2 linked regions of the Canis lupus familiaris genome follow. The protein of the gene in region 1 interacts with the protein of each later gene in a pairwise test. Links are inferred from orthologs where the notes say so. Each region holds a gene or a part of one and is shown on either strand. Other genes may lie near its edges.

Region 1 (9,522 bases):
GAAAGCCCCACCCAGCCCGGGGCTCCATCCCACTCCTTCTCAGCGCGTTGCCGGGCACACAGTTGACGCTTATTGAGGATTTGCTGAGTTAATAGCTGAATGAATGGATGAATGGACGAGCTCAGAATGTGCGCACACTATGAAGCTGGCTCGTGGAGGAGAGCGAATGCGTCCTATTCATCGGCTTTAGCATGAACACAGAATACGGAGACGATCCAGTTTGCACAGACTGGGGTCACCCCTGGGTTACCGTGCTCGGTCCCGGTCACTGCGCTGTCACGGGGACCACAGTGAGCGTAGAAAGCTGACCGGGTTGGCGCGGGAAGGGAAACTTAGGAAACCAGCAACGATCAGCTACGGAAACCAGAAATCCCAGGAAGGACGCCGGCGCCATCCTTTAATAGCTCAAGAGCGGCTGGAAGAACGAGGGGGTTGACGTAGCTTGCAGCCCTAAGCCCGTGGATCTGAATCCAGATCCATGGGTGTTCGTTTGATAGAGACAGATGCCATGTAGGAAGGAAACGGTCCCTTGACAGCCTGCATTCGCATCTCGGGAGGTGGTGAGCTTGTCATCTAAGAAAATGTACGGGCGGGTAACGCCTTGGCGAGGATGTTGAGGGATTCAAGCAGCAGAAGACGGCCTCCGATACCCCTTTCAACCCTGACACATCTGGGATTTTGTGATATACAGGGATTGAGTCCACAAGACGTTTCTGGCCAACAGGGGTTCTGAAACTTACTTATCTAGCAGAAAACATCACCCAAACCGGGTCTGCACGTTAAGCAGTGGGAAGACGTGCTGAGGGGTATCTCAGGGGCTTGCAGCCATCCCGCAGACACACCGGGCAGCTCACTGGGTTCGAAGCCCGCCATCTGTGTGTGACCATCCAGCCCACGAGGCTGTCGGGTGGCGTGAGGACCCAAACGCCGCTTCCACTTTCCGGGGAACAGCCCGCACTCCCTACAGCACGGTCGCTCAGGTGAACCTGGGTGTGCTTTCTGAAACCCCAGCACCCTGTAACCACCGGGGCCCCGGGCAGAGACCCCAACCCCCCAGCCTATGACCTCCTCTGCAAAACGGGTTTCATTAAAACCCCGGGGAGGGGAGGAATCGGACCGAGAATGGCACAAATGTGACACTTCATGAACCTCGGAGACAGACCTTATTCTATTGTATACATGGGAACATCTGCATAATAAAAAGTAAAAAAAAAAAAAAAAGAGGGAGAGTTTAAAATAGTACCAACCTCACATAATAATTGCATAATAATTCACATAATAATTTAAAGTCATCATCGTCATCGTTATTGTCCCAAGGAGTTTATACGGATCCTAGTTATTACCATTATTGCCAGGGACGTTTAAATATCCCGCTGAATCATCCCAACAGGCCACTGCGGTGGTGGAGATGGTCTCCACGTGGCAGATGAGGAAACTGAAGCTCGCAGAGGTTAAATCCCACAGCACGATCTGAAGCAGCTACGGGGCTCCGCCGTCACGGCTGCCTGGGTTTCAACAAGAGCCCCTCGTGTTCTACTTGGGTGATGGCCACACACTTCTGACATGGGGTGTTCATCTCAGGCGGGGGTTTCTGAGCTTTCTCAGTGGCAAAACCATTGTTTTTTTGTTGTTGTTGTTTTTCCAAATGCTGCTTTTCCTGCAAACTCCAGGGAACAAAACCCCAAAAAGCCAAGCAAGCCCTCTGGCCAAAGTGGGTATGGTGCCCCAGCAACCTAGCCCCTTGATTCTAGGGTGGCCCCTGAAGCCCCTTAGGGTCCAAGAGCAGAGTGTGACAACCCCCGACTGAAGCCAGCAGCGACAACAACAACAAAAAAACCCTAAGCTCTGAGAATTCCGTGTGAGGACAGCCTCCTTTGCATAATGCAGCTTTGGAGGTGGGGGGGTGGGGGGGGCTCCTGTCTCCGAGGCCTGTGATCCTCATTATCAGCTCTGAGGTGGACCAGGCAGGGCAGATGACCCTCAATTTGCAGATGAAAAGACATCAAGGCCAGATGGAGTTGAGCCACTGGGCAAAGGTGCACCAGTTCACTTTGGGGCCAAGCGCAGACTGGAAGCAGACCTGTGTCCATTAGCTCAGTGTGACCTGGCAGAGAGGGTGCCATCTACTGGAAATTGCCACTGACCCTTGGTCCACAAAGTGAACGATCAGCGTCTTGGCCACCGAGTGCTGAGCACAGCCCCGAGGCCCCCTGCCAGGGCTCCATCCCGGAGCAGATGGCAATGGGCAGCAGAGGGGGGGCTCAGCGCCACTGGGGGGCTGGCGGCAGGATTCGGCCAGTAGACGGGCCATTCCCATTCCAGCCGCATGGTGCTGGGCACAGGGCAGGGTGAGCAGTGACAGCCGGGTGCCTTCCACCTTTGTCGGCAGCCCGAGAGGGGACAGCAGGGAGTGCACCTGGGGCACCTGCACACACTTCGCCTTTCTTCCCAGCTCTTTTCTAGAAATCCCCGAAACCAGACATCGTTGGTGATTGCCTGGATGCCCCCCCACCCCACATCCGGCATCTCCGACTTGAACTGGAGCATGTGTTGGAGCAGGCAACACTTAATTATCACTTAGTCTTCAATTAGCACTTAATTATTAACACTTAATCCATCTGTAAAATGGGGACACCAATACCTGCCTCCTAGGGACCCTGGGAGGATTAATTAACGTCTGCAGCCCACTCTGAGGATGCCAGACATGACTGGGGGCTCACAGTGGCACTGACGGCCGTGGCGCTTCGCTCGCTTTTCCTGACGCGCTCTCTCCTTCCTTTCCCTGCGAATTTCCAGCCCCAATCATATCTGCCCAACATTGAGCTCTGTGTTTCCCAGGCACAGGATTCCCCAACTAGGAAAAGGGCTATTTACAGCCATCCTCCCGCACTTTAATTTTCTATTGTGCCCTCTGAATATGTCAATGCCTTCCCAGTAAATATTTTGATGTGCGCTCTTGCAGCGGCTTCTGTGGAGGCTGAATGGGACAGCTGCTCCCTGTATTAGGGAATTCCAGATGTGGTTTAAAACCACCAGACTCATCTGTGACAGTGCCTAGCCTCTGGGAGCGGGAAAGGGAACGTATCGCAGAGCTGCCTGGAGGGAGAGCCACGGGCATCCGACCCTCAGCCTAGGCCGGTGAGGGTTTTCGAGGGCCTCGGATCTACACCTAGGTGGCCTGGGCAAAGGGAAAAACACCAGCCCTTTGTGGGCTGGTCAAGAGGCAGCAGAAATACAGCCCTGGTCTGGCTCTTCACCGGGGAAGCTCAGGATCCTGGTCACCCACCCTATAAAGATTGGACAAAGGACCCCAACAGGTGGAGAGAAGGCATATACAGCCTAAGGGTTTAACCAGACTCAACAACGGGCCAGAACATTCCCCCAGAAGGTCGGACCTCGGCTCCTCCCTCCTCCCTTGGTGCCAGCCACAGACGGGGACACTCACCCTTCTTGGAAGCTGAGCCCGTTGTCTCTCGGAGTCCCAGCCACCGGGGCAGAGAGCTGTTCCTTCACGGTCCTGGGCTGCAAGGCCTCGGGCAGGCCTTGAACTCTTTTCCAGATTTCGTGGCAAGTCTTGTCTAAGCTGTCTTGGGGTGTGTCCTGGTGGATCCAGATGTATCTGGGGAATGGGCCCAGGGCGGAGGGGCGCTTGGCCACCAGGGCTGAGGATGAAGGGAGCCCATTTCCACTGGCCATCCTCCTCCTGTCTTTCCGGAGGCCCCTTCGTCCGCCCAGGGCTTGAAGACAGGGGGACCATCCACCACCACCCCTCATTCACCGGAGAGGGAGATGAGGATGGGCAGACGCAGGTCAGTTCTGCGTGGCTGTTGCTTCAGCAAGGTGGCTGTGCTCAGAGGCCTTCGCGGTGGGTGTGAGGGGAGGATGGAGCACCGCTCTCTTTTGGGGAGGGGGAGCTTATTTTGATTTGCTTTTATTTGCTCTCTTCTGACTTTTGCCCCCCTCCCCCTCTCCCGTAGAAGAAAATATTTGAAAGTCAACAAAAACCAGTAGCTTAGTAACCGTGGAACCCCCCTGAGCTCAGGAACCGGGTGCCTGGGCGGGCAGAATGACATCTGGGAACAGCTGGAGGGGGAGGGCGGGCTCTCCCCGCAGCCCCCGCCGTCCCGTCGCCACGCCCCCGTGACACCTGCAGCCCTCAGCCCAGTCCAGGGCTGGTGGGCAGGTGCTAGGCCAGGGCCCGGCGCAGGTGCTAAGTCAGGGCCCGGTGGGCAGGTGCTGGGTCAGGGCCTGGCGCAGGTGCTAGGCCAGGGCCCGGCGGGCAGTTGCTGGGTCAAGGCCCGGTGCAGGTGCTAGGTCACGGCCTGGCAGGTAGGTGCTGAGTCAGGGCCTGGTGCAGGTGCTGGGTCAAGGCCTGGTGCAGGTGCTAGGTCAGGAACCGGCAGGCAGGTGCTAGGTCATGACCTGGCAGGCAAGTGCTAGGTCAGGGCCCAGGGCAGGTGCTAGGCCAAGGCCCAGGGCAGGTGCTGGGTCAGGGCCTGGGGCAGGTGCTGGGTCAGGGTGCAGGGCAGGTGCTGGGTCAGGGCCTAGGGCAGGTGCTAGGTCAGGGCCTAGGGTAGGTGCTAGGTCAGGGCCCAGGGCAGGTGCTGGGTCAGGGTGCAGGGCAGGTGCTGGGTCAGGGCCCGGGGCAGGTGCTGGGTCAGGGTGCAGGGCAGGTGCTGGGTCAGGGCCTGGGGCAGGTGCTGGGGCAGGGTGCAGGGCAGGTGCTAGGTCAGGGCCTAGGGTAGGTGCTACGTCAGGGCCTGGGGCAGGTGCTGGGTCAGGGCCGGGGGCAGGTGCTAGGCGCGGCAGGGGCGGGGTCAGCCCTCGGGGTCCCGCCCACCGTCCCGGGGCCTCCCAGGGACCCCGCCCCCACGCCCTGGGGCTCCGGACGGCAGACCCCGGGGTGCCCCCCCCCCCCCCCCCCGTTACCCCAGCAGACACCTGCCCGCAGGCCCGCTGCCTGGGCCGACTTTGCCGGCGCCCACACCCTGGGCCCAGCGCCGGGTTCCTCTGCGGCCCAAGCGCAACGGCTCGGAGCGGAGCGCGGGCGCTGGGTTCGGGGTTCGGCGCCCAAGGCCCCCGGGCAGGTGGGGGCGGGGCCGGGACGACCCGGGGGCACCTGCACCTGCACCTGCCCCGTCGCGCCCGCCGCTCATGCACAAGCTCTGCACCTGCCGGGGGCCCTGCCCGGAACCGCCGATGTGGACCCAAACTGACATTTTTGGGGGGCGCTTACCGTGTGCCAAGCTCTGGGCTTCCCGTGTCCTAGCCAACCCACCAAGCTCGTGAAGTTAGTACCTTTGTTACCGGTGGGGCCTGGAGGAAACGCAGTCTGCGGGTCAGAGGGGGTCGGTCCAGAGCCCACCAGGAAGACAGGAGCTGGGATTCACACCCAGGCCCCCACCCTCCAGGCCCCACCCAACCGTCACGGCCTTAGGGATCCCTCCTGAGCTGGGTTCAGCAGGTCCCCAGGGTGGAGGGGGAGCGGGGGGCAGTGGGGTCAGGGGCTCCTGGCCAGAGAGAAGGGCTAGGTTAGCAGTTTGCGGCCCAGTGAGCTCACCTCTCTCCCTGGATGGGCTTCATTAAACTCAGAACTGATGCGGCACTTTGCCTGCCCAGGGCTCCACGGCCCCGGGGGTCAGGGGTCCACCCAGGAAAGGGAGAGCGAGCCAGATGACTGGGAGAAGAGTGGATGGGAAGAGACCAGCCACGGCCACCTCCTGGCTGGGGGGGCCCAACCCCTCTTTTAACCTCCCCTATGCGCCTTCCTTCCTTCATTCCCCAGGATTGGCTGAGCACCCCAGGTGAGATGCGGGCACCGAGGACGCATGCAGGTGAGCAAACTGGCACGGTCCCTGCTCTCCTGAGGCCTGTATTCTAGTGTAAGGAGAAAGATCGCACACTAGCGAAGTAAATAAGCACTAATTACAGACGAAACGAGGGCTCTGACGGAAACTAACCATCACCACGTGTGCCAGTGCCTCGAATTGGGCATAGAAAAGGGAAAGTATCACGGAGTGGCCTCCAGGGAAAGCCACGGGCATCCGACCCTCAGCCTAGGCCAGTGTGGGTTTTCAAGGGCCTTGGATTGACAACTGGGTGGTCCATGCAGAATGAAAAATGTCCCCTTCGTGGGCCAGTAAAGAGGCAGCAGAAATACAGCCCTGGTCTGGCTCTTCACCCGGGGAACCTTAGGACCCTGGTCACCTGTCCTATAAAGACTGGACAAAGGACCCCAACAGGTAGAGGGAAGGCATAGGGGAGGACAGGGGGAGGGGAAAGGTGGCAGCATCAGATGGATGGCCAGGTAGGCCTCCTTGAGGAGCTCAGGTGTAACATTGGAGATGAGACAGAAGGAGAATCCTTTTTTTTTTTTTTTATAAAATGGTGTTGAAAATTCTTATGAAAACCACATTTCTGGCACATAGTAGGCACTCAACAAATACATGTTGGATGAATTAATGCTATATCATTTGTAAAGTACCTGGCATACAGTCGGCGCCCAATACACAGCTTTGCTCTTTAAAGAAGGCCTGAGTTCCTGGGAATGTTGACTCTCAATTTTGAAATCCGAGCTTCATTCGCCTTTGATTTTCATTATAAAATTGAAGATGTGCTCCTTTGGGGAAAATTCTGAGGACCTAGACTGAATAAAATTATAGTTAAGAATGTAGAAAACCTTTTAAGATAGTGTATTTAAAGGAAAAGTGATCATTTCTGATGAAATATTAATAGTTCTGAAAATGTCACTCAGTGTTTGTGCTGCTTGGCATTTGGTTGGCTAACACCCATGCTTAGAGCAGAAGGCCAACAGCCCGGCCCTGCCCCGGCCACAGGATTCTGGAAAGTTAGCCAGCTCACTCGCTCCTGTTCCTTCTCCCCCCACAGCAGGAGGCTAGGCAACAGGGGCTAAATTGGAAGGGATTGAAAAAAAAATAAAATAAAATAAAATTCAGCAGGGATAGGGAATGTTTCTTGGAGCACACAGCTGAGGTTTCCAGAAGATTCTGCAGAAAACATAAGCGAAGTAATTCGAAATAGTATAAAACTATGTCTGATATGGTAGCTGCTAGCCACATATGGCTATTTTCATTTTAATCCTATTTTAATGTAAATTAAGTTAAAATCTGAGTTCCTTAGTTACATCGGCCACATTTCAAATGCCGCATGTGGCTCGCGGCTGCCATTTTGGACTGCGTGGGGGGCATCTGCGTGGTCATGAGACACATGGGCTCTAGAGCCAGACTACCCGGACTCGACTTCTGAGTTCATGGGTTCTGGCGACAGATTACCCTGTGCCTTGGCCTGTTGGTTCTCTAGGGATGCCGCAGGAAGGGAGGCTAAACCCGAGAAATGCATTTCTTCCCGGTTCCGGAAGCTTGGAATTCCAAGACCAGGGTGTCGGCAGGGCGTCTCGTGGGCTCCTGGCTGGCTGGCTTCTCCCTGTACCTTCATATGGTCTTCGCTCGGTGCACCTGTCCTCCTCTTATCAGGACCCCAGTCATCCCAGATTAGGAGCCAATCCAGAGTCTCATTTTACCTTAATCACTCTTTAAAGGTTCCATCTCCACCTAGAGCCATATTTTGAGTTTTTTTGGGGGGGTCGTTAGGGCTTCAACATATGAATTTGGAGGGACACTATTTAGCTCCTAACACTTGGTCGTATCTATAAAACAGGATGATAACAAAGAACACCTGCTTTGCAGAATCATGGTGGACGTGCTATTCCTGAGTCACGACTTAACACACGGGACGCGTGGCCCGTAAGAGACGCACAGCAGTGCCGTATATCCGTCCCTTTGTTGATTACGCTGAAATGTGTGCTACCGGGGTTTCTAAATAACAGCTTTTGTGCAACGCGTAGGGAGGGGAGGACTTGAGCTGCACTGGGGAAATTGCTCTGTGAGGAAGGGACAGACTCAAGTCATCAACTAAGCCCTTCCAGGCTTTGTTCATTTTTGAGCGCCTGCCACGGGCCAAGATTGTGCAAGACACAGGGTGAAGAGATGAATAAAACCTCTAACTTAGACGTCGTCATAGGCGCGCGAAGGGAGCGAAGCTTTCCAGAAGTCCCTGGCACACAGCAGATTTGGGGACATCAGAGCCTGTTGGGGTCCTGCTCAATGTATGTCGTGGTGCCCCTGCAGCACGCAGGCGTCTCGGTGCCCAGCACATGGAGTGGTGTCCGTGGAATGGGCGACCGTTGAATGCGGGGACCAGGCCGCCATTGGCACCTTGAACGGTGGGTTCGATTGGTTTGAACAAATTCTTAAACTGCCTGTTACTGCCCTCATGATGCTGGGCAGATTGCTTGCCCCCGGTATACCCCCATTTGCTCATCTGGTGAAACGGGGACAATAAAATGCTGACCTCGTGGAGCTGCTCTGTGACAGGTACAGAGCTCAGGACAGGGGCCAGTGAATGTTAGCTACCATTATCTAGGATTCCGAGAGCCTCGGTTTTCAGTCTGGAAGCAGGAAAACCTCAGGAAGAAGCAACTCTCCTTCCCTACTCCCCAGCCGAAGCCTCCACTCACTCACAGGGCCTTGGTCGCTGTCACCTGCCGGCCAGGGTGGGGAACACGTCCAGGTGGTGGGTGCAGCCTGTGCTCTGTTAAGACCTTCACGGGCCAAAACCAGCTTCCTCTTGGAGGGCCCTATCCCTCATCTAACATAGTTTAAACACACCCACCTCTCACCACAAATATAACTTTTTTGGCTGGAAAAGAAAATTGAAAGGATTTTTGCCATTTTGCTTTTGAAAATGTTTGGCCATGAGTGATTTATTTAATCTACGGTCGGCTCTCGTTTCTTACGGCTCTTGGTGCTTTACCTGGGAAATCTTGCACAGCGAGGAGACTCCAACCTACAAATTGTCATCAAACGTGATGAAATTTTCATGACTACTAAATCCAGCCGTTAATGAAGCTGACGTAACGTCACATTTTGCATTTAATTAAATATTTACTGATTTTATTTTATTTTATTTATTTATTTATTTTTGTATTTACTGATTTTAATGTTGCAGTTTTCTATATCTTGGTATTGTGGAGCTAATGAAAACACGTTTAGGTCTCAAACTTCCTTGCAGGCCCCCCCAAACCCCATAGAGGACCCCCCTTCATCCCCAGGCCAACGGTGCCCTAAGGGGTCCGGCTGCCCAGAGAGGGGGCCGGGGGTGGGGGCAGATGCCGAGGGGGATACCAGGTAAATTTCCCGAGGGACAAACCATCAGAGCTAGAGGTAGAGGAGGGTGCAGCCATGTGTCACAGGTGCAGGCCTTCCTGGATGTTGTCCCCGAAACCGAACCCAGCCACAGAGCGCCCGGCCACCTCCAGGACTTTGGAAAGGACACCAGAATGCTCTAGAAGCAGAGCTGACTCTGGCTTCTCCCTCCCGGCAGCAACATGAGCAATCCTCACCCTCACCCAGGGGATTTCTCCTCTTGTTCTCATCCCCACTCCTTGCCCGCATGTGAGGAGATCGTTAAGAGTTCAGGCTGTGGGGTGGACGTCCTTGAACT
Region 2 (9,524 bases), on another chromosome or scaffold:
GGGTGGGGGGCCTAGGGTGGGTTACAAGCCCCTCCCCCAAGTCCTTTTCAGGAGTCTGTGGAAGACGCCCCCGGTGGGAGCAGGAGTGGTCTCCCCGAGCCCAAAAGCTGAGCCCACCTCTCCACGGTGTCGATGGCAGGTCCTGGGGGCCTGTGAGACCACGACCGTAGAGGTGACGATGTCCCCTGGTGCAAGACACGCTCGTCTCTGCTTCACGATCCTGGCCCTTTGCCATCCAGACCCTCTTAGGTCACAGCCAGGGTGGGCAAATCTGCCAGCCCCCCAGGGGTAGGGACAATAGAGCGCCCCAAATCCCCTCGCCAGCCCCTTCTGCGGAGGAGGGAACCCCAAGGTTCCTCGCCTGGTATCCTCAGTGCTTCAGGCCCGGGAGGGGAGGGGTCTTGGCTGTTCCCATCGCCCTGGCTCAGCCCAGCGGCTCGGCCGGATGCTCCGCTCTTTAAAAACGTGCGGTGGCCGAAGCCCTGAAGACTCCAAGCCCCTTCTTGCGGCCCTCCCGTCGGCCCGCGGCTCCCTTGCGGGTCAGCGGGGTGAGCGCGTCCTCACCCTGCTCTGTGGGCCTGTCGCGTGCGGGTGTCCCGGGTCGGCTCTGGCGGGGGGGCATGCACACGCTGCAGCAGGAAGGGCGTCCCCGCACGAGCGCATCTTTGCCCGGGCCTGGCTGCGAGCGCGGGGGCGGGGGGAGGTCCCCAGCAGGGTCTCCTAGGACTGCTCCTCAGAGTAGGGCTCCTCTCATCTCACTAAGGGTCCTTGGACAATAGATTCATACCTTTTAAAAATTTTTTTGCATTAAAATATACATTAAAAAATTTTGGGGACGCCTGGGAGGCTCAGTGGTTGAGCATCCACCTTCAGTCCAGGGCAGGATCCCAGGGTCCCAGGATCGAGTCCCGCGTCGGGCTGCCTAGGTGGAGCCTGCTTCTCCCTCGGCCTGTGTCTCTGCCTCTCTGTGTGTTTCTCATGAATAAATAAAATCTTAAAAAAAAAAATTGCCATCTCAGCCATCAAGCATCCAATCCAGCATCACCCAGCACGTTCCTTGCGGTGCGGCCCCCACCCCCAGGCTGAGGCTCTGTCCCCGCCCTCCGTGCCCCCTGCGCCCCCGTCTCTGGGAAGGCGACCCCGCGGGGACCTCATGCACGTGGCATCACGCGGCGCCCTTCCGTGTCTGGCTTCTCTCCCTCGGCCTCGTGCCCTCGGGGCGTGTCCGCACCTCTCGAGGCTGAGAGACGCTCCTGCGTGTGGCCAGAGCTGCCGTGCTCCTCCTTCAGGTCCGTCTGTGTGGGACACTCGGGTCCCCACCCCCTCTGGGCGCCTGTGAGCGTGTGATGCAGCCCTGCCCCCATCCTGGGGGGCACTCGGAGGGGAGACCGCCGGTAATTCCATTTTTAATATTTTGAGGAAGCTTGATGCTGTTGTCCACGGGGCTGCACCATTTCACGCTCCCAGCAGCAGCGCCTCCAGTTTCAGAGTCCTCCCCAGCACGTGGTATTTTCTTAGCTTTTTTTTTAAAGATTTATTTATTCATGAGAGACACACAGAGAGAGAGAGAGGCAGAGACGCGGGCAGAGGGAGAAGCATCCGTGTAACACTCCAGTGACAAACGCTTCCGTGGCGGGAACCTTCTCAAACCCCGGCTGCTCTGGGACTCGCTGGGGCAGGCTCCGAAATCCGCAGTCACAGCAGCAGGGCTCCGTGTCCCTGACCTGCCATTTGTGCAGAGAACACATCCCCAAGATCTGGGTGGACGTTCGTCCTCCGTATGACTAGGGAGGTAAGACAGGCGTGTCCCCCCGCCCCCCCCCCCCGGGATCCCGCAGTTCGGCCGAGGCCCGAGCCCTCCTTCCCGGTTGCACAGGGTCTGCGACTCCTTCCTCGTGTTTGCACCACCGACGCGCCCACTTTGCGTCCCTGGGTCCTCCTCGGCCTCCCTCACCGGCCCTGTGGCGAGGGCGCCCGGCCAGAAACCACGCTGCTCTGGATTATGCCCCGGATGTTTGTGTCCCCAAATTCCTGTGTTGAAATCCTACCCCCCACTACCCCCCGGTGTGATGGTGTTAGGACGTGGGGCCTCCGGGGTGAGCTTAGGCCTTGAGCTTCGCCACCGGGATTGGTGCTAAGTGGTGACCGTCCGCTGGCCGGGAGGTGGCTCTGCCAGGAACCCCTGCACCCGGGTCCCGGATCTGGGCCCTCCCGCCTCCGGACCCGTGAGAAAGGAGCATCTGTGTGCCGCCCAGCTCCCCGGACGTGTCACTCGAGCGCATCTGGAATCCCACACCAGGTCCACGGGGGTGTTCCAGACGTCTGCGGGCCGGCCCCTCACTTTGTCCCTGTGACGTCCCCCAGGGCACATGCACGTGCTGCTGTCTCCCAGAACCATTATTTGTGATCTAGATCTAGAGAAACCCTAGCTTTTTTTTTTTTTTTTTTTTTTTTGTCCTTTCAGTGTAACAGTGGCTCTGTCGCGGTGAGGCTCATGTCCTCCTGGCCCATGACTGGGCCACATGCAAGCCCCGCGGAATCCCCGGCTGCGTCCTGGTCCTCTTCCCGGCCTCCCGCATGGACGCACCCGACATGCAGGCCCTGGGGTTTTTCTGCCCATAGAGAGAGTCACACGTATGTCACACGTGGGACAGCAAGTGGGCGCCCCGCACCCTTGACTCTGATACAGCCCTTGTAGGACCCTTCCCGTCTCCCCAAAATGTGGGATCTCGGAAAGATGGGCAGTGGCCGCACTCCCTGCTGATTAGCGCCTCCCTCCCCATGTCCCTGGACCCTGCCGCTGGACCCCCTGCTCCACGGAGTGCGCGGGCAGGCTGGGTGCCCCCATCACCCCGCAGCCTGGAAACCAGCCCCCCAGCTGCACACTCACACCAGGTTCTCTCCAGCAGGAGCAGCCGTGGGGGAGCCGGAAGGGCTGCGGCCCAGTCTCCTCCTGGGGTGGGTGTGGAGGAGGGGCCTGGCGCAGGGCGGGCCTCCCTGGGCCTTGTATCTGGGTTGGCCGGGGCGGCGGGATGGAGCCCAGGGGGCGGGCTGAGGCCCGGGAAGGTCTCGTCCAGGGAACGCGGGGGGCGGGGCGGCCGGGGCCTCCAAGTGACCCAGGGCGTGCGCTTGGGGAGCCCCTCCCCGCTGCAAGCAGGTGCGGGATTCGGGGGCAGGTCAGCGGTCAGGGCCGAGGCCACCCCGCGTCGGGTCCTGAGCCTCGGAGGAAGGCGGAGGCCGCGCAGGGCCCACCCCAGGGGACACGAAGCCCAGCCCCACCCCTGGGGGACAAGGGGCCGCAGCCCAGGCGGTGCGGAGGCGCGTGGTCGGGCTGGGAGGGTGTGGGCAGCAGGACCCCTGGGGAGGACCCTGGCCCGCCGCGGGAGCACCGGGTGCGCGCTGCTCACAGGTGGGTGCAGGTGGGACCAGGACGCAGAGTCCCGGCACCTGTCGTGTCCACCGGGAGGGCGCCCCTGGAGCCGCGCACAGGACGGGGGGTCCGCAGTGCTGACCCCATCCCCGGTCCGAGAGCCGCGCAGCCCCCACCAGCTGGGCCTCGGTCCCCAGGGGCAGGACGGCGTCCGAGAGCAGGGGCCTCTCCGTCCAGGTCCAGGCCAGCACCGCCGCCCGGGACGCGGCCACCGGCGGACCACTGCGCTGACTCGGAGGCGTCAGGCCCCCTGACCCTTCCCGGCGGGGTCAGCGCCGCCGTTCCCGCTGTGCCCGCCGGAGGGCGGCCGGGGGTGTTAATCCGGGCCCAGCCGGAGGGGCCTTTGATCCCACGGTCCCGCCCAGGCTGGCGCCAGCGCCCCCAGGAGTCGGCCGGTGGGCTAGGGCCACCACACCCAGGGGGCGGGCGTGGGGGGGTGGGGGCTCCGGGCTGCCCCAGGTCACCCTGGACGCCGAAGGCGCTGGCCCTCGGTCCCGTCCTGCAGAAAGTGGTGGTGGCGAGCAGCGGAGGTGGGAGGGGGCTGGGTCCCCGGAGAGAGGACAGGCCTTGAACCCGGGCTGCCGCGTCCCTGGCGGCTCTGGGCCCCGCTGGGCAGTGGGGCGGCCCTTCTCGGCAGCACCGGGCTGCTCCATCCCTCCCGCTGGGTCGTCCGGGAGCAGCAGGGCGGGGCCGCACTCCTGAGGGCAGACACCCCTCCTTCCTGCCACTGCAGAGTGGAGGCGGGGGTGGGGGCGCCGAGTACCGTCTGAGAGGGAAGGGCCGGTGGGTGCTCCCCGGGCAGCAGCACCCACCCTGCCCTACGTTCCTCCCCCCGCCGGACAGCCTGAGGCAGCGGCACCTGCTCTGGGAGCCCCCACCCCCGCCGGTGATGCTGCTCCCCCTCCGGGAAGCATGCCCTCCCTCAGGTGGGCACACCTGCCGCCTTCGGCACCGCAGACCCCGCGGGCTGGAGAGGAGGCGGCTCCTCACCCCGAAGGACAAGCCTCCAGCTTGGGTGCTCAGCTGGGAGGGGCCACCCGGTGGGGGTGGGGGATGAAAGGACGTGACCAGCCTCCGCCCGGGCTCAGCCCCGCCCCGCCGCAGACATCTCGGAGCCGGGGGAGGTGTGAATGGCCTCCTTTGTGCCTCTGAATCGAAGGCAATTAGGTGCTACTTATCTGGGGGTGGGCGAGGCTCTGAGCGGCTACGCAGGCCGGCCTCCCACCCGCCTCCTCCGGAGCTTATAAACGCTAAGGCGGCGGACGACCTGGTGCCTTAGCCGCCGTCGGTGCTGCGGGGACCCTGTGCGTCACCCCCTCTGTCCTGTGAGCAGCCATGTCTCCGTCCCCTCCCCTGCCCAGCGGCCGCGGGCCGTCCAGCTTCGGCTCGGTGGACTGGCTTTCCCAGAGCAGCCGCGGGGGGCCGTCACCGCCCTCCAGGCCCGCTGAAGCCCCTCGGGGGGGTCCCTCCGCTCCCGCCAGGGGGTGCAGCAGCGGGGAGCCCCTGCACGGTGCGGGCGTGGAGGAGGCCAAGTCTTCAGAAGCGTGTGCGCCCCGGACGCCCACGGCTGGTAAGGCTGGGGCGGGGGGTGCCTCCCTTCGCAGATGGGAGCCGGGAGGGTTGGGGGGAGGCCTGGACTACAAAGCCACGGGGGCGGGGTCTCCTGTCTTTAGGCCCCCTGGGGCTCCCCACCCCCACGTCCTGGAAGGGCTGGCGTGTGGCCCTGAGCCGTGACACGGTCATTTCGCACCGTGGGGGACCCGGGCTTCCGGCGTGCGGTCGGCCGTCGGGGCTGGACACGCACGTCCTGAAGCTCACAGAGCCCGCCCACTGGGCGCCCAGGCCTCGGGACTCCGGCCCGTTGGCGGTGCACCGGCGGCCCTGCGGGGTGGCTCGGGGCGCCCTGCTGTCTGCACCTGGGAGCTCCGGGCCTCGGCTGCAGGGCGTCCCCCTGACCCCTTGCCGTTCACTGCGGAGCGTTTCTCGGTCTTTGTGACGTAATCATTGCTTTTAGGTTTAAAGCCCTGCGTGGTCAGGGCAGCCCGGGTGGCTCAGGGGTTTGGCGCCGCCTTCGGCCCAGGGTGTGATCCTAAAGTCCCGGGATCGGGTCCCACGTCAGGCTCCCCTCATGGAGCCTGCTTCTCCCTCTGCCTGTGCCTCTGCCTCTGTCTCTCTCTCTGTGTCTCTCGTGAACAGATGGATAGGATCTTAAAAAAAAAAAAAAAAAAAGCCCTATGTGATCAAAAGTGGGATTGATGTTATCTGTTAAATTCATTTTTTTTAAGATTTATTTATTTATTCATGAGAGACAGGCAGAGGGAGAAGCAGGCTCCATGCAGGGAGCCCGATGCGATCTCGATCCCAATTCCGGGATCGCGATCTGAGCCAAAGGCAGGCGCCCCTGTTAAGTTCATTTTTGAACGAGTTTGATCTTAGGGGAAAATGCTATACTTCAATGAAGTTAAATTCTACGTTTATTCTCTGCAACCAGTGCCCCCTCCCCAACAAAACCCAGCCAGTCATCCCTGCGCCCCGACCCCTTACACCCTGCCCCCGCCCCCTCCGAAGCAAGGGTCGCTCCTCTGGTCCCCTGCCTGCTTCCAGGGAAGTGTTAAAGTCATTGGTAAGCTCTGCTCCCCCCACACCAGCACTAGAGCCCGTTGGCATTTGGGTGAGGCCCGACCAGGTAGCCGAGCTCCGCACACCAGCGCTCGCGCCTCCCGCCGCCTCCCGGCGGACACACGGGCGCCGGGGGACACTGCTTGAGTGTCTGACTCTTGGTTTCGGCCCAGATCCTGATCCCGGGGTCGGGCTCCAAGCTCAGCAGGGAGTCTGCCGGACGCCCCAAGGGAAGGAAATCTTAAATCAATAAAAAAGGACTAGACGCAGACTTGCCAGAGCTTCACGTTGGGGGCGGGCAGCCTGGGGGCACCGCCGTCCTGGGCGAAACTGCTGGGGGGCTGCAGAGCTGTTCGCCAGGCGCCCTCCTCGCCCTGACCCCAGCCCACACTCCAGCCGGCAGAGGAGGGGCCTGCGCCCTGACGCACTGGGTGCTGAGGCCCCTCTATCCCGCGTGGGCCGACGGCTGGGCTGATGGCGTTTGATGGCGTTTGATGGCGTTTCCGTCCTCCCTCAGGGTGGGGCAGGGACGGGGACGGCCTGCGGGTGCCCCGCGTGCGCACGGCCTTCACCGCAGAGCAGCTCAGCACCCTGGAGAGCGCCTTCCGGCGGCGCCGCTACCTGGGCCCCCTGGAGCGCCGGCGCCTGGCCCGTGACATGCGGCTCTCTGAGGTGCAGGTGAGCCTCTCGGGGCTGCAGGCGAGGTTTGGGGGTGCAGGTGAGGCTCTCGGGGCTGCAGGCGAGGCTCTCGGAGCTGGAGGTGAGGCTCCGGGCGGCAGGTGAGGCTCGGGGTTGTAGGCAAGTCTCTCAGGCTGCAGGCGAGGCTCAGGGGTGCAGGTGAGGCTCAGGGGTGCAGGTGAGGCTCTCAGGGCTGCAGGTGAGGCTCTTGGAGGTGCAGGTGAAGTTCAGGGCTGCAGGTGAGGTTCGGGGCTGCAGGCGAGGCTCTCCAGGGGTGCAGGTGAGTTTCTTGGGGTGCAGGCAAGGTTCTTGGGGTGCAAGCAAGGCTTGGGGCTGCAGGCGAGGCTCTCGGGGGTTACAGGTGAGGCTCAGGGGTGCAGGCGAGGCTCTCGGGGCTGCAGGTGAGGTTCTCGGGGGTGCAGGTGAGGCTTTTGGGGGTGCAGGCCAGGCTCTCCGGGGGTGCAGGTGAGGGGGGCCGGGCCTGGTGGGGGGCAGCTGTTCCCGTCCCTGCTCTGATGGAGGTTTCCCCGCAGATAAAAACCTGGTTTCAGAATCGCCGGATGAAACACAAACGCCAACTGCAGGACTCGCAGCTGAGCAGCCCCTTCCCCGGGGGGCTCCACCCTCCAGTGACCTTCTGCCCTCCGCCCCCTGCCCTGCGCAGGCCACTGCGGCTGCTGTGTCCTTGGGCGCCCCCACTGGGGCCTCCAGCTCTGGGGCAGCCCCCTGGCCCCTTCTGGGATCTCTGCCGGGTGGATCGAGCCTCCGTGGCCTTGGCGTGGGCCTCGTGCAGCAGACAGCCTCCCACGTGCTGCCTCCCGGACCCGGGGGGCCAGGAGCTGGGCCCGGCCTTGGCCTTGTCCGGGGTGCCCCGGGGCCTGTGTGCCCTGCCCCAGACCGGGGATGCCTTCTGAGGACGCGTGACAGCCCAGCGGCCGCCGGGAGCGGGAGCAGAGCGGGGCCGACCTGCCGTCCACACGGCGCGGGTGCGCGCAGGGCCCCGCATCTCCCCGGGAGACGTCCACCCTGCGAGCCCTGCGCCCCCTCGGCAGCCGGGACCTGGAACCCCCACCCCACCCAGCTGCTCCTTCCCTGGATACTACAGGCTCGGTTTAAGGACTCGACGAGGGGTCGGGGGACAAAGCCCAAAGCCGAAAGTGGACTTTGAAACGTTGGGCTCGTAGCCTGTGATAGGAGAGTAATTTATTCAATATAAAGTGTTGGAAAAAATAAAGCTGCGGGGGCCTGGCCCGCTCTGATGGTGGAGGCTGAGACTGTTGATCTTGGGGCTGTGAGTTCGCGCCCCACGGCGGGCGGAGAGCTTACCTAAAAATAAAATCATAAAAAAGATTTGGATACTTCCTCGTGCTGCGTGCTAACAGCCTCGAGTGCAAACGTGGAAATGTCACCAGGTGCATCTGCGTGGTCCCTCTGCTCTCGGGATCCGCCCCCCCCCGCAGCTTGGGCATCCCGCGGCTGAAGCAGCAGCTCACTCCGGGCAGCGGACACCCCTGGGCCTCCTCTCTGTAACCCGAGCGGCCTTCATGACCAGCAGTCGCCCTCGGCTGTGACCAGCACAGGACAGCCGGCTGGGGCTCAGCACAGACCCAGGAGCCTGTGAGAGAAATAGTCTTTTTGCCAAAAACCTACATTCCAGTTTACAGAAAACGGGGGCTTTATAGTGGATGCCACCTGGTGCTCCTCGGAGGTCGCTTGTCCGAAGGGCCGGGCGCCACAGGCCTCCCCCACCTCCCTCCGCGGGGGGCCAAGCCTGGGCCAGGAGCAGCCCGGTTCCCTGCAGGTCTCACGTCTGAAACACCAGGTGGCCGTGGGGCCAGGTTGTGGGTCCCTGGGGTGGAGCCTGTGTCCAGGCCGCGGGGCTGCAGGGACGCTGGCTGGGGGTGCAGGCCCAGCCCACAGGCCGAGGGCCCCAGGCGGTGAGGGGGGGGCACCCCCAGCCCTGCCAGCAGAGCGGAGGTCACGGGCTTGCTGAACACACGCTGCCCCTGCCCCTGCCGGGCCTGGCTTCAGGGCACCCGACCGGTGAGAACACGCAGCTCCTGGCCTGTGGCACGATTCTCCGCACACGTTCCAGTCCGGGGCACCCGGGCGAGAGGGAGGACTGTCCCCGGGACCCCACCTTCGTCCAGCAGCCATGGCCTGAGGGGCAGCGTGAGGCCCCCATGCAGCGGCCCTGGCGCCCCCTGCAGCCCCCAGGACCCTCCCCCGCACTGGGCAGGTCGTGGATGACTGGGAACCCCCTCCCCAGGGAAGGCACAGTGTGGCTCGTGGGCGAGCCCCCCACCCCACTGCTCGCAGGACGGCGGGCGTCCCCACACTCCGAGGGTGTCCCCGCTGTGGCTGCGGCTGACACCAGCCTCAGGGACGGCTCTGCCCCTCCCCCTCCCCTTCCTCCTCCCCCTCCCCAGAGTGGCCTACGGGGTTGGGGGGGTCAGTCGGGAACCCAGAGGGCTCTCCTGGCCGCACTGACTGGTGCTGGGCCCCGGGCCGGCACCTGCACCCGAGGTCTCCTGGGGCCGCCCACCCCCCTCCCACCGCGGCCCTGGGGGGAGGAGCCATCAAAGGAGGGCAGGGGGCGCCGGGCGCGGGGCCGAGGGGCCGGTCTGCTGGGCGACTCGCCAACCAAGGCCCCACAGTCGCCATGGAAGCTCCTGTCCATTTGTCTACACGGGAACCTCAGGCCCCAGGCTCCAGGGACGCTGGCCCCCACCCCGGTCGGCGGATCCCAGCCCTTCCCCGGGGTCGCACCTGCTCCGCCCTAAGTTCCCCAGAGCCC

What was found.
Region 2: the proteins of C15H1orf94 (region 1) and VENTX interact in binary tests that used the Homo sapiens proteins (3 or more experiments, as listed by UniProt). The two-hybrid records come from large-scale screens. The link is inferred for Canis lupus familiaris from reciprocal best matches to the Homo sapiens genes C1orf94 and VENTX.

The regions. Positions count from the first base shown.
Region 1 is NC_049236.1:7,757,535-7,767,056, forward strand, and holds the start of C15H1orf94 (uncharacterized protein C1orf94 homolog), read right to left. Parts: upstream 5,048-9,522; 5' UTR 4,942-5,047; exon of another isoform or gene 4,930-4,941; intron 4,423-4,929; 5' UTR 3,775-4,422; coding exon 3,446-3,774; intron 1-3,445.
Region 2 is NC_049249.1:41,344,349-41,353,872, forward strand, and holds VENTX (homeobox protein VENTX), read left to right. Parts: upstream 1-4,765; coding exon 4,766-5,000; intron 5,001-6,566; coding exon 6,567-6,727; intron 6,728-7,260; coding exon 7,261-7,641; 3' UTR 7,642-8,077; downstream 8,078-9,524. UniProt on the Homo sapiens protein: May be involved in ventralization.